4 linked regions of the Saccharomyces cerevisiae S288C genome follow. Changing the gene in region 1 together with any one later gene gives a genetic interaction. Each region holds a gene or a part of one and is shown in the gene's direction. Other genes may lie near its edges.

Region 1 (3,108 bases):
ATGGCAGACAATACGCGCCTGGAAATATTTCAATTATGAGAAGCTTCACTGCTCGAGATAATACTAAATCTGTGAGTAGAGAAATTCGTGATATCTGTAAATCGTTTTTGATTATAAAAAGCCAATTTGGTGACGAACTTTTCCTGACTATGTTCATGGAAAAACCAGTTTTCTTTGATAACAACATCCCAATTGAAATAACTGGAGCATACCGAGAAAAACGAGAGCGATTAGATGAAGTGATTCATAAGGATCTTATCCGCTATGATGAAGTTCAAAATTTGACAAGGATTCGCAATTTGCTCCGGGTTAAAAGTCAAAAGATTTGTTCCAGGAGACATAATAGTTCGGTTCCCACAAAAAAATTGTTAGTTAATGATAAAGGCGCAACTTCGATTCTACTGTGGTACTCTAACTATTCATAGATAAAGTTTATTTGATACATAATCCGGAAAATGTAAGATATGCCAACTGTTAACTAGAAAACATCTGTACTCTATATATCGGAAACAAAAACTTTACGGGTACAACCATGATGAATAAGCTCGAAATTTTTGCCTTCCATATGAGTCCCATTTTGGTGACCAACTCTCCTACCCGAATTACTGTGATGATATATACTCTTCGTTTTCTAGTAATGGCTTCATTTTGCCTAAGTTGGTCAAAATTGTTGTGGGCGGCTTTTGTTTGCACCGAGGAGCGCTCAGTTCGTTATAATACCAGTTTTGCCACTCCTAAACTACTAAAGAAATAATAGAAAGATATATTCATCAAACATAATCACAATCAAAAAAATGTCTACATATGAAGGTATGTAATGATATATTATGAAGTAAGTTCCCCAAAGCCAATTAACTAACCGAATTTTAATCTGCACTCATCATTAGATTAGAGGAACATGGAATACAACAAAACTCAAGGGATTACCAAGAAGTAGGAGGAACTTCACAGGAGGAGCAGAGAAGACAGGTCAGATCCCAACTGCAAGGTCTATTTCAAAACTTTGGTAACACCAGTGGTGAGGGTGATGCACATTCAGATTCAACACTACTTTTACGATTATTATCGCAAATGCTTCCAGAATCATTACAGGAAGAATGGTTGCAAGAAATGGATAAAGGCAAGAGTGCGGGCTGTCCTGATACTTTTGCAGCCTCTTTACCACGAATCAATAAAAAAAAGCTCAAAGCAACTGACAACTGCTCCATTTGTTACACTAATTATTTAGAAGATGAGTACCCCTTAGTAGTTGAATTACCTCATTGCCATCATAAGTTCGACTTAGAGTGTTTGTCTGTCTGGCTATCTCGAAGTACAACATGTCCATTATGCAGAGATAATGTTATGGGCCACCGAATCATTAATGAGATTGATACAACTGAAGCAGAACTGGAAGAAGATTGGGGTATGTACGGTTAATATCTTTCTTTTATATTATATAAAGACACCAAACCTAAGTAGAATAGGTAACTACGTCTTCTTTCACAGAAGACAGACCTACAAGTATTTTGATTATCATGATGAAGTAAAAGCAACGATAAACTTTTTACTAGGTATTATTATTCTGCGCTAACAATAATTATCGCGAGTTGAAAATTTTCAAGCGATGCTCCTAACATTACTGTAAAACAACAGTAGATGAGTACAAGGCAAGCTTAAAAAGAAAGTATTCAAGATGGGTAAGAGCAGCAAAGATAAAAGAGATTTGTACTATAGAAAAGCAAAAGAGCAGGGCTATAGGGCTAGATCTGCTTTCAAACTACTTCAACTCAATGACCAATTTCATTTCCTGGATGATCCAAACTTAAAAAGAGTTGTAGATTTGTGTGCAGCACCAGGTTCATGGTCACAAGTGCTCTCGAGAAAACTGTTTGATGAAAGTCCCAGTTCAGATAAGGAGGACAGGAAAATTGTCTCTGTCGATTTACAACCGATGTCCCCCATACCTCATGTGACAACGTTGCAAGCCGATATCACTCATCCTAAAACATTGGCGAGGATTCTAAAACTGTTTGGCAACGAAAAGGCCGATTTTGTTTGTAGTGATGGTGCACCTGATGTTACTGGGTTACACGATCTTGACGAATACGTGCAACAACAGTTAATTATGAGTGCGCTGCAACTTACTGCATGCATTCTGAAAAAAGGTGGAACTTTTGTGGCAAAGATCTTCAGAGGTCGTGATATAGATATGCTATATTCCCAATTGGGCTATCTATTCGATAAAATCGTTTGCGCAAAGCCAAGATCATCAAGAGGTACATCTCTGGAAGCTTTTATTGTTTGTTTAGGCTATAACCCACCATCCAATTGGACACCAAAATTAGATGTAAATACATCCGTTGATGAATTTTTTCAAGGCTGTTTTTTGAATAAATTGTGTATATCAGACAAATTGTCTCATTGGAATGAAGAGGAGAGAAACATAGCCGAATTTATGGCTTGTGGAAGTCTTCAAAGTTTCGACTCAGATGCCACTTATCATGACCTACCTTCTTCGGTTGCAGGCACTTCATCGTCCTTAGATCCTGTTCAAAGCCCGACGAACCCTCCCTACAAGAAAGCTTTGGAATTAAAAAGGAGCGGGAAACTCACTAGATCAGTTTGATTGCAATATTACTACCTCTAATCAAACAATTAAATAAGTCACTACATTATAAGATTATCTACAAAATCAACTTTTCCTTGCAATCATTAAAAACGATATAGGTTACGGTTATGTAGAATATCCATTGTATAATATAAAAGAAAATGAAACAGTAATTATATTATATTATATTACATGCAAGCATTGAGGAGTATGGCAATCATTTTTCTTCTTTTTTACTTCACCTCGTCTCTTAAAACATCTGCTTTCGAATTTGCGAGTAATAGAACTTTCGAATTGTGACAGAACCATTGAGAACATGGTGAATCTGTCAATATTACAACCCAAAAGCCGGTTGGTGGTAAACCGTAGTACGGAGCATTACAAAGGATTCCATCGTATAAATTATGCATAAGCATCACCTTGATCCATTTGCCTTGCTCCTATTGCCCTGCTTGTTTGTAGGAAAGCCCCTTTTGGTCAAACGAATTGTTCAGTTCGGGTTTACGCATTACATATCT
Region 2 (2,963 bases), on another chromosome or scaffold:
TCAAATGCATCTGCAGGTGTACTGCCATTATATTGCAAATTTGCCAGGGTCACAATGTCGTTTGCCTCTTGGGTATCAGATTGCATTTTTTCAATACTTTTGGAAAGAATTTTCATGATATCCGTATAATCAACGGATAGGATGTCTTTGACCCAGGTAGGTAGGAATTGAGAGGGAGCAAATATTTGAAAAGTGTTATACAAGAAGGTGAGTTCATCATCAGTGATCTGACGTACGGGTTTTCCGTTTACTGTCGGAATAATACCACCGAGATTCGAGTTTTGTAAAAATTTGATGTATGTTTTAACCCAATTTGGAAAGTCATTAGGTGAGGTTAACATTGGTGGTGGTCTGACATATTTTTTAGTGGATGTCATATCAGAGTCCGCTGAGGATGAATCAGTAAATGTATTACCTGACTCAGGTGATGGAGTGCTCAGAGGCGTTCCAACTGATGATGGATACTGCGGAAACTGTGATTGTGGCCCAGGTGGAAAGTACATAGGCGACATTTGATAAGGTGTATACGGAATCATAGATGGGTGTCCGTAAAATGACCAACCAGATGGATTGGCTTGGTTTTGGGTCATCATGCACTGCTGTGGGTACGGCCCATTCTGTGGAGGTGGTACTGAAGCAGGTTGAGGAGAGGCATGATGGGGGTTCTCTGGAACAGCTGATGAAGCAGGTGTTGTTGTCTGTTGAGAGTTAGCCTTAGTGGAAGCCTTCTCACATTCTTCTGTTTTGGAAGCTGAAACGTCTAACGGATCTTGATTTGTGTGGACTTCCTTAGAAGTAACCGAAGCACAGGCGCTACCATGAGAAATGGGTGAATGTTGAGATAATTGTTGGGATTCCATTGTTGATAAAGGCTATAATATTAGGTATACAGAATATACTAGAAGTTCTCCTCAAGGATTTAGGAATCCATAAAAGGGAATCTGCAATTCTACACAATTCTATAAATATTATTATCATCGTTTTATATGTTAATATTCATTGATCCTATTACATTATCAATCCTTGCGTTTCAGCTTCCACTAATTTAGATGACTATTTCTCATCATTTGCGTCATCTTCTAACACCGTATATGATAATATACTAGTAACGTAAATACTAGTTAGTAGATGATAGTTGATTTTTATTCCAACAAGTTATATTATCAATATATTATCATATACGGTGTTAAGATGATGACATAAGTTATGAGAAGCTATCATCGAAGTTAGAGGAAGCTGAAGTGCAAGAATTGTTTCATATGTGATTTATGAACATTTAGCATGATTTATTGTCATATTGAGGTATGGTATGTCGATGATAAAACAAATCCAACAATTGTGAGCGCAAGTGGTTTAGTGGTAAAATCCAACGTTGCCATCGTTGGGCCCCCGGTTCGATTCCGGGCTTGCGCACTTTTTTAGCAACTATTAGCGATCAATATGAAGGGTTTAGAGACTAGGTGCCTGCCTCGCCTACTCAGCATTCGTTCAGTCAATATTTTATATCACCGTTAATAATGATTAAGCAGTTTTTTTTGTTAATAAATCCGGTCATCGGGCTAACTAATCTTCAAGAACAACTAGACGGTCATCCCCTTTTGCTTCATAACTTCTCCTTATAATATAAAAACTTACAAAACGACCATGATATTCAATCTACCTGTTAGTGTGCTGCTTTATTTTTCTTTGATATGGGCAATGGAGCCTAGTTTCGTAAGAGGTAAGAACGTCGTCAACTTAATTACTTTCAAAGATTCAAATGGCAAGCTGCACAAGCGGTTAGCACCAGAGGAAATACCGCCCCGGCTACATAATTCTCAAGTAAATTCTTATCCATTAGGATATAAGGGAATGCGTGACTTTTCAAGACCCGCAGTGAATTTAGATGATATTTTAGGGACACAGCAAAGAAAGCAGCAAGAGTTTTTGGCTGAATTGTCTCCTTTATCCTTAGAATCAAAGTTGTCATTAGTGAACGAGGTCCAAATATTTGCAAGCTATGTGCGAAATGATGTTGAAACATATAACAAAGTAAGTGACCCCAACGAAGATTTGATTATTATTGCACCAACGAACAGGGCTGTCTCTCAGCTTACTTTAAAACCGTGGCAATTTCCGAATAATATTGATAAGCTTGAAAGTGATGGTGCCACCGAGAAGGAACTTGATACGGCAATACAAGAGAATATCTCCAAATTTGTGAGATCTCATATTGTAGTGTACAATGATGATAAAAATTCCTACAAGAAGGTGAGTCCAGGATGTACGCTCCTGCAGAGTATTGACTTCACAGAAAGCAAGAAAAGCGATTCGGAAACTGGTGGTGATATTTTACTCAAAAAAGAAGGAGAAGTATATTATGTAGCTTCCTCCAGAGACGAGAAATTTCATGCCGTCGAGAGCATTGAAAATGGAAGCAATGGTGTTATTTTGATGGTTGATTTCACCCTGGTGGGTCCTTAGTTATGTGTTGCTTATGGTTTTGACTTCCTTGACCCCATACAAATTGCGTTCTTTATTTTTTTTGGTTATAATTTATTAATAATGGCGAGTAGGATCGGCCTATCTTTATGGAGTTTACAACATAATATATACATTGGTATCAATTTGTTTTATAGTTATATTTTCTCTAGTATGTGAACGATAATTTTGTTTTACGAATCCTTATATTAATGCTTAGCTGGGGCCGGTGGAATAAGAATACAACTATGAAAATATTACAACAATACCTTCGAACATATATATACACCACTTAGAAAATTGATGGTACGGTGCCTGAGATCGCTGCTGGTGAGGTCATATAAATAGAGGATGCGTTTTTGTTATCAAGAGAATTCTCCCTCTCCGATAACACGTCCTGCGTATCCACTAGCGGTTGCTCCACTTTCTTATTGAATGAGTTGGATTCACCCCCAAGTAGACCTACTTTAAACAGCTTTCTTGCTTTTAATTTTCTTTCTCTA
Region 3 (3,466 bases), on another chromosome or scaffold:
GCGACAAGGTAATTGTGGACCTAGTGTCACCTTCTTGAGAACTTTCCTGAATATTTGCACTAACATCCATATTATCATGATAATCTGTGTCTTGAGTTGGGTCTAGGTCGTCGTTTACCACAAAATCAAAATCGCTTTGATTTAGTAATTCGTTTTCTTCTTTTTCTTCATCTCTAGTAGTCATGTAGCTGGAATGGGCATCATCTTCTGCCTCCATTGTTAACTCATCTTCTTCTCTTTCGACATCCGGATAATCGTCCCTCAAAGATTTACCCATAACATAGTCAAAAGGATCATCCCTATCAGGTATTCTGTAGTTGACTGGTTCTCTTGAACGCATATTTCTCCTTCTTGTAAGTTCATCTTGTTCTTCTGACGTCATGTGGAGATGCGGGAATGCGGGAGAATGTGGAGCCCCCTCCTTCAATATTACAGGAGGGTCACAGTCTATATCATCCTCATCATCCAGGACTTGAATCAAATCATCGTTATTACTATCATTATTGCTATTCTTACCGGTGTTATTAGTAATATTTTGCTTCGCACCAGTGATGGCTAATGCCTTAGTGACGGTAGTCGCAGTAGTACTTGTCAGGTTTGAATTCCTGGAAGATGTATTGTATTCCAAGGGGCTGGGCAGAATGCTTGATATGATATTATCATCTTGTGAAGAAACTTGACTGCGACCTTTACTTTGATCTTTTGACATTCCATCTTTTTTGGCTTTTATGATCTCCTTTTCCAGACTATCTATTCGTATCGACATATTTGATAACTGAGGCCGTATATCCCTACTTAACTGTAGCCTTTTAGCGTCCTCTGACAATGATGTGGATTCGATAATACTACACTTCTGTAGCAATAATTTCGATTGCTCTTTCAATGCCATAATTAGGGAGCCTTGAAGGCGGATCACCTCTAATTTTATATCATTTTCGAGCTGTTTGCCTATACTTGAATTATCGATTACGCTTTTATTGTTATTTCTACTACCTAGATTTCTGCTACTGTCATTTTCGACAAGAGAACTAGCCATGTGCGGTCGAAAAGTATTGAAATTGTGAGTTTTCGAGCCATTGGGCGTCCTCGGGTTCGATACAACACTTGTGCTGGCTGGTATATCAACCATGGGTACGTCAGCATATTGATTCGATGTGGCAGTGTACGAGAGCCATTCTGTATCGTTCGACAAAGTTTGCATGACTTCATGTTGTTTCGTAGCAGTATTCGTTGGTCCAGATGCAGGAATGCTGGTTATAAAGTTTGTTGTTCCTGGTCCACATTCATCTTTGGATGGCGTTGTTGGTGGCGAATTTGTCTTAGGCCTTTTGTTCGCGATGTGCTTTTGGATAGCCTGGAATACGAAATCTTTGTCTTCCTGTAAAGTCGCCGTTTCCTTTAACCATTTGTGCTCCCTTCTTAAGTTATGTGACGGCTTCGTCACCATTACCGCCTTGTGTGTACGTGTATGATTTTTTAAATATATACAACAATAATCTGTATTTTTTCCTTTCCTCTAGCCAATGACTCCAAGCTGGCTGATAAAAACAAACTAAACGGTAAAGCCACAAATCCGAAATGTATCACCAATGATCACCCAGCCTGCTAAGTGCCCTCTATTGATCCGTATATCAGCTTTTAGATCAGGCTCGAGTTTCTTGTTATATGTGCATTGCAAAAGCATAAACAAATCCTGGCAGCCGAAGCCGGGCAATCCACTTCGAAACGCACGGCTGAACTATATAAATATAAAGGACATGTGGAGAGAAGCTTCTCTTCCTTCACATTTCGCATTTCATGATCTAAAGTGGTTCTTTCACAATAGAAGAGCACCAACACGAAATATGGCTGTCGGTGGTAATAACTGGAGCATGTGGCTGCGAATGTCACGGGTCCACCTCAGGCAGATCACGAAGTCTCTGGACCGAACGCTGATCAGTTTGAGCCATGGGAATTTTTCCCACCAATATAATCGCAATATTTTTGTCACTTGGTGGAAGAGCCTATTTGAGGCTTCTACAGCTTTTAGGAGGGCAAGTGGTTTAACGGTATCTCCTCTCACGAGGAGAGGAATCGCAAGGTTTGACCATTTCAGACCTGTTCCCAATGTCAGTAAATTTGCTTCTTTTCCCAGAGTGCCCAAAGGAGCCCCAAGGGGCCTTTTTACCAACTGGAATATGACTACATCAAAGAGATTATTAGGGCAGAGAGCTTATTCGACTTCCAGTATCAAATTTACCCAAGAAGCCGTGAATAACATGACTATATCTTTGAGGTGTTTTTTCAACTCACTAGGCGGATTAAATCAGTGCTCCCACTCTAATTCCTGCAAAGCTTATCAGAATGCGTCTAATGTTACCTCTAAACAGGATCACGTCCAACCAGTTGCCCTTAAGAAGTTATCTCAAAAGGATATCAATTTCATTCGTAATTTAGAACTATTTAAGATAATGAAGACCCAGAATGAAGTCGTTGATGAAACAAGCGCATATTACATGGAAAAACCAGGTTCCTATATTGAATTTACCATTTCAGAATTTAACGTTAATGGGACATTCTCCGCACCTTTGTCATTTTTAGATCCTTCTTTGTTAGCGGATTTGGATGAAATGATTAGAAATTACAAATACGAATTAAAATCAATATACAGTAGTGTTGACATGATCTTGCAGAATTATGGATCATTGCCGATAACTTTTCATCGAAATAAGATTCGAATACATTTTCCAAACTCAACTGTGGTGGAAACAGAAAAACTAATTGCAGGTCTGAATATTGCTACGGGTGTTATTTACGCAGATACGTCTCCCGATATCAGTCTAGAAGGTACAAATTTGAATGCTCTGGTTAATGTTGACAATTCAGGAAGCGTATGGTCTTTTGTTAAGGAGCCCTCGTTTCCCTCTAGGAGCGCTTTTTCACCTATTTTATCAGATGCATCCTATGATACTTATGAATTGGTCTAGCAAAGACGTTGTTTCATCGCGCTATTACCAAGAAGGTTACTTTACTTGTTCTTGCACATGGACGCACGTTGTGTGTTCATATATATATATATATATATATATATATATTTGTGCTTGTTTTCATTGTCTCTATAGTTAATACATTCTATTTTTATCGTTATATTTGCATTCTCTTCGCATAAAAACTTCATGAAAATTCGGCAGAAAATAAGCCATATATGTACTTTATCCATAGGCAAAGAAAAGCACTTAACGAGAATATACAACAATTGCACTAGTACTGCATGTATATACTCTTATGATTATAGCGGCAAGAAAACAAATATAAACACACTAACAGATGAATTCGAATGAAGATATACATGAAGAACGCATTGAAGTTCCACGAACTCCCCATCAAACCCAGCCAGAGAAAGACTCTGATCGCATCGCTCTCAGGGATGAAATATCAGTACCAGAAGGCGATGAAAAAGCATATTCGGATGAGAAAGTAGAAATGG
Region 4 (3,063 bases), on another chromosome or scaffold:
ATGATTCGAGGATAAGAATTTTTGACTTAGAACAGAGGAAGCTTCTAGAGGTATTGAAAGGCTTCCATAGCGGATCTTCCCAACACAAGGCACAATTGTCCATCTGGCATGGTCAGCCAATCGTTGTAAATAGTAGTGATGACCATTGGGTTTACGGCTGGAGGTTAAAGTCTTCGGATAGAGAGAATGATCAAGACGAACCTAAAAGGAAACCAAAGGGATTGGCTCGGTCCGGAAGTTTGAGAAGCATATTTAGTAAATCAATGAGTAGGTCTTCCAGCCAGAATAACGAAGAAAAACCACATCATCATTTAAAACTTACTAACTTACTTCCCTTGCCTCATCATAGCAACGATCATTATATCAAAAATACGGATTACATTTCTTTTCATGCACACAATGCCCCTGTTACTTGTGTTAGCATTGCACCGCCAGAAACTTCGAAAACATTATCTTTGTCTAACGATGTTATCTGCGAGCTATCTCTAGAGTTTTTTCAGACATCCGATAGTTTCGATGTTTTGAGTCGGAGTAACGACGATGGCATAATGTCAGATGTAGAGTCGTCTTTGGGCTACAATTCTAAACCAGGCTCAATTTCTAATGCTTCCGCCACCAGTGCTATCCCAGATGTCGTTGACGCAATTGGAACGATATTGATCAGTACTGATAACGTAGGGACTATTCGTGTGTTTAGAGCAGATATGCCCTCTGTTATAAGAAAGCGCGTGTTACTCAAACTAGAAGAATACAATAGAGAGGTTCGGAGAAGGTTTAACAGTTCTGATTCTTTGCATTCTTTGAGTCGAAGCTTCAACTCGAGAGCGAAATCAAACTTGGCTGGCCAACCGGCAGCGGCGTATACTAATACTGGAAAAGGCTATGCAACGGGACGTGGATACTCTAATATATGTCCCAAAAGCAGTACATCACTAAAAACACTCGGCAGTAATGCACAGCCAAGAACACCAAGGGAAAGCATGTCATCTATTTTCTCCAATGCACATGGGCCTACCACTCCAACGAGCGCAATGAATTTACCTATCCGTTGCAATGTTTGTAACGGTTCAAGGTTTGAGGCTTTTTCTGGTGCTAATGACCAACAAGATAGAAACTATTATTGCGTAGACTGCGGTACAGTAGTTAATAACTTCCGCTAACGCTGATGGAGTATTTTTTTTCCGTGGATGATACCTTTAAATGCATATTAATCTTCGTACATAAAGTAAAGAAACACGATACACTTAAATAAATTTTAATCTAATAATTAATGAACGCTAACAATGAGCCTATCATTTGTTGCCGATATACTATAACGTATCTCTTCGAAAGAACAAAACGGAGTGAGTGCCTGTTAAGGGTAACTACTCCAAACTGAGTGGACCTCGGCGGCTAAAGCTATACTTTTTCTGTTATTTAAGGGACCTAAAAATACACACAGAGTAGATTAAGATTTGGTGCACTTTTCTCAATTTATCAACTTATAAAGAACAGGCTGCCTTTCAAACATAGGACGTTTCTGTTGACCATAATGAAAATGCCCAGTATTATTCAGATTCAGTTTGTAGCCCTAAAAAGGCTTTTGGTAGAAACCAAAGAACAGATGTGCTTCGCAGTGAAAAGTATATTTCAGAGAGTATTTGCGTGGGTTATGTCATTAAGCTTGTTTTCATGGTTTTATGTAAATCTTCAGAATATTTTGATAAAAGCATTAAGGGTAGGGCCAGTGCCTGAACATGTCTCCTTTATCATGGATGGTAACCGGAGATATGCCAAGTCAAGAAGGCTACCAGTAAAAAAAGGCCATGAAGCTGGTGGGTTAACGTTACTAACACTACTGTATATCTGCAAAAGATTGGGTGTAAAATGTGTTTCCGCCTATGCATTTTCTATTGAAAATTTTAATAGACCAAAAGAAGAAGTAGATACGCTAATGAATTTGTTTACGGTAAAGCTTGATGAATTCGCAAAAAGAGCCAAGGACTATAAGGATCCCTTATACGGATCTAAAATAAGAATAGTAGGTGATCAATCTTTACTATCTCCAGAAATGAGAAAAAAAATTAAAAAAGTGGAAGAAATCACACAGGATGGAGACGATTTCACTTTATTTATATGTTTTCCTTACACTTCAAGAAATGATATGTTACATACTATTCGTGATTCAGTTGAAGACCATTTGGAAAATAAATCACCAAGGATTAATATAAGAAAATTTACTAATAAAATGTACATGGGTTTCCATTCCAATAAATGTGAATTATTAATCAGAACAAGTGGGCATAGGAGGCTCTCAGACTATATGCTATGGCAAGTACATGAAAATGCCACCATTGAATTTAGTGATACGTTGTGGCCAAATTTTAGCTTCTTTGCTATGTACCTGATGATTCTCAAATGGTCCTTCTTTTCCACCATTCAAAAATATAATGAGAAGAATCACTCATTGTTTGAAAAAATACATGAAAGCGTTCCTTCAATATTTAAAAAAAAGAAAACAGCTATGTCTTTGTACAACTTTCCAAACCCCCCCATTTCAGTTTCGGTTACAGGAGATGAATAAGTAAAAGTGCAAAACTAGAAAGCCCAAGAGAGGGCAAAGAACATTCTGAAAACTCCCTGATTCTTCCATACCTATTACCATATTACATCATTTTTAATTAGTAGTCTTTTAATTATCTATTATATCCGGTATATAAAATATCCTTGCGCCAAGTGTATAGCTAATAAAATGTAAAAAAAAAAAAAATTAGGAACAAAAAATAAAAAAAGCGAAAACAAAAAACTCCGTTAATGAATATTTCATGATCTTGTTAAACCTAGGTCATCGAAATCCCCTTGTACTTTACTCAGGTATGCTATTTTCATCCCTATTGCTTATTTCATCAGGTACGGTGGTGGATATATTAGGAGTGAACGTACTGGTAGAATTCGAAACATCAGCTGCTGTAGTAGCGGTGGCATTTAAAGAACTAGGCTCATTTGGGGTATTGACACCTGTGGTAGTATTCGTGGATCTCATATGACTTGATCCAACTTCGTGACACCAATACCTATGATATC

The links.
Region 2: mutations in TRM7 (region 1) and YDR262W together harm fitness more than expected from each alone (negative genetic interaction), as found in Saccharomyces cerevisiae (one large-scale study listed by BioGRID).
Region 3: mutations in TRM7 (region 1) and SPG5 together harm fitness more than expected from each alone (negative genetic interaction), as found in Saccharomyces cerevisiae (one large-scale study listed by BioGRID).
Region 4: mutations in TRM7 (region 1) and SRT1 together harm fitness more than expected from each alone (negative genetic interaction), as found in Saccharomyces cerevisiae (one large-scale study listed by BioGRID).

Annotation. Positions count from the first base shown.
Region 1 is NC_001134.8:364,287-367,394, reverse strand, and holds TRM7 (tRNA methyltransferase TRM7), read left to right. Parts: upstream 1-1,675; coding exon 1,676-2,608; downstream 2,609-3,108. Other genes in the region: CNM1 (Cnm1p), read left to right, coding at 1-425; YBR062C (uncharacterized protein), read left to right, coding at 795-810, 893-1,419.
Region 2 is NC_001136.10:991,490-994,452, forward strand, and holds YDR262W (uncharacterized protein), read left to right. Parts: upstream 1-1,644; coding exon 1,645-2,463; downstream 2,464-2,963. Other genes in the region: YDR261C-C (gag protein), read right to left, coding at 1-860; exodeoxyribonuclease DIN7, read right to left, coding at 2,753-2,963.
Region 3 is NC_001145.3:643,812-647,277, forward strand, and holds SPG5 (Spg5p), read left to right. Parts: upstream 1-1,844; coding exon 1,845-2,966; downstream 2,967-3,466. Other genes in the region: ATP-dependent DNA helicase SGS1, read right to left, coding at 1-1,447; GYL1 (Gyl1p), read left to right, coding at 3,307-3,466. UniProt on the Saccharomyces cerevisiae protein: Required for survival at high temperature during stationary phase.
Region 4 is NC_001145.3:467,945-471,007, reverse strand, and holds SRT1 (ditrans,polycis-polyprenyl diphosphate synthase), read left to right. Parts: upstream 1-1,531; coding exon 1,532-2,563; downstream 2,564-3,063. Other genes in the region: LAF1 (Laf1p), read left to right, coding at 1-1,160; MYND-type zinc finger protein MUB1, read right to left, coding at 2,846-3,063. UniProt on the Saccharomyces cerevisiae protein: With NUS1, forms the dehydrodolichyl diphosphate synthase (DDS) complex, an essential component of the dolichol monophosphate (Dol-P) biosynthetic machinery.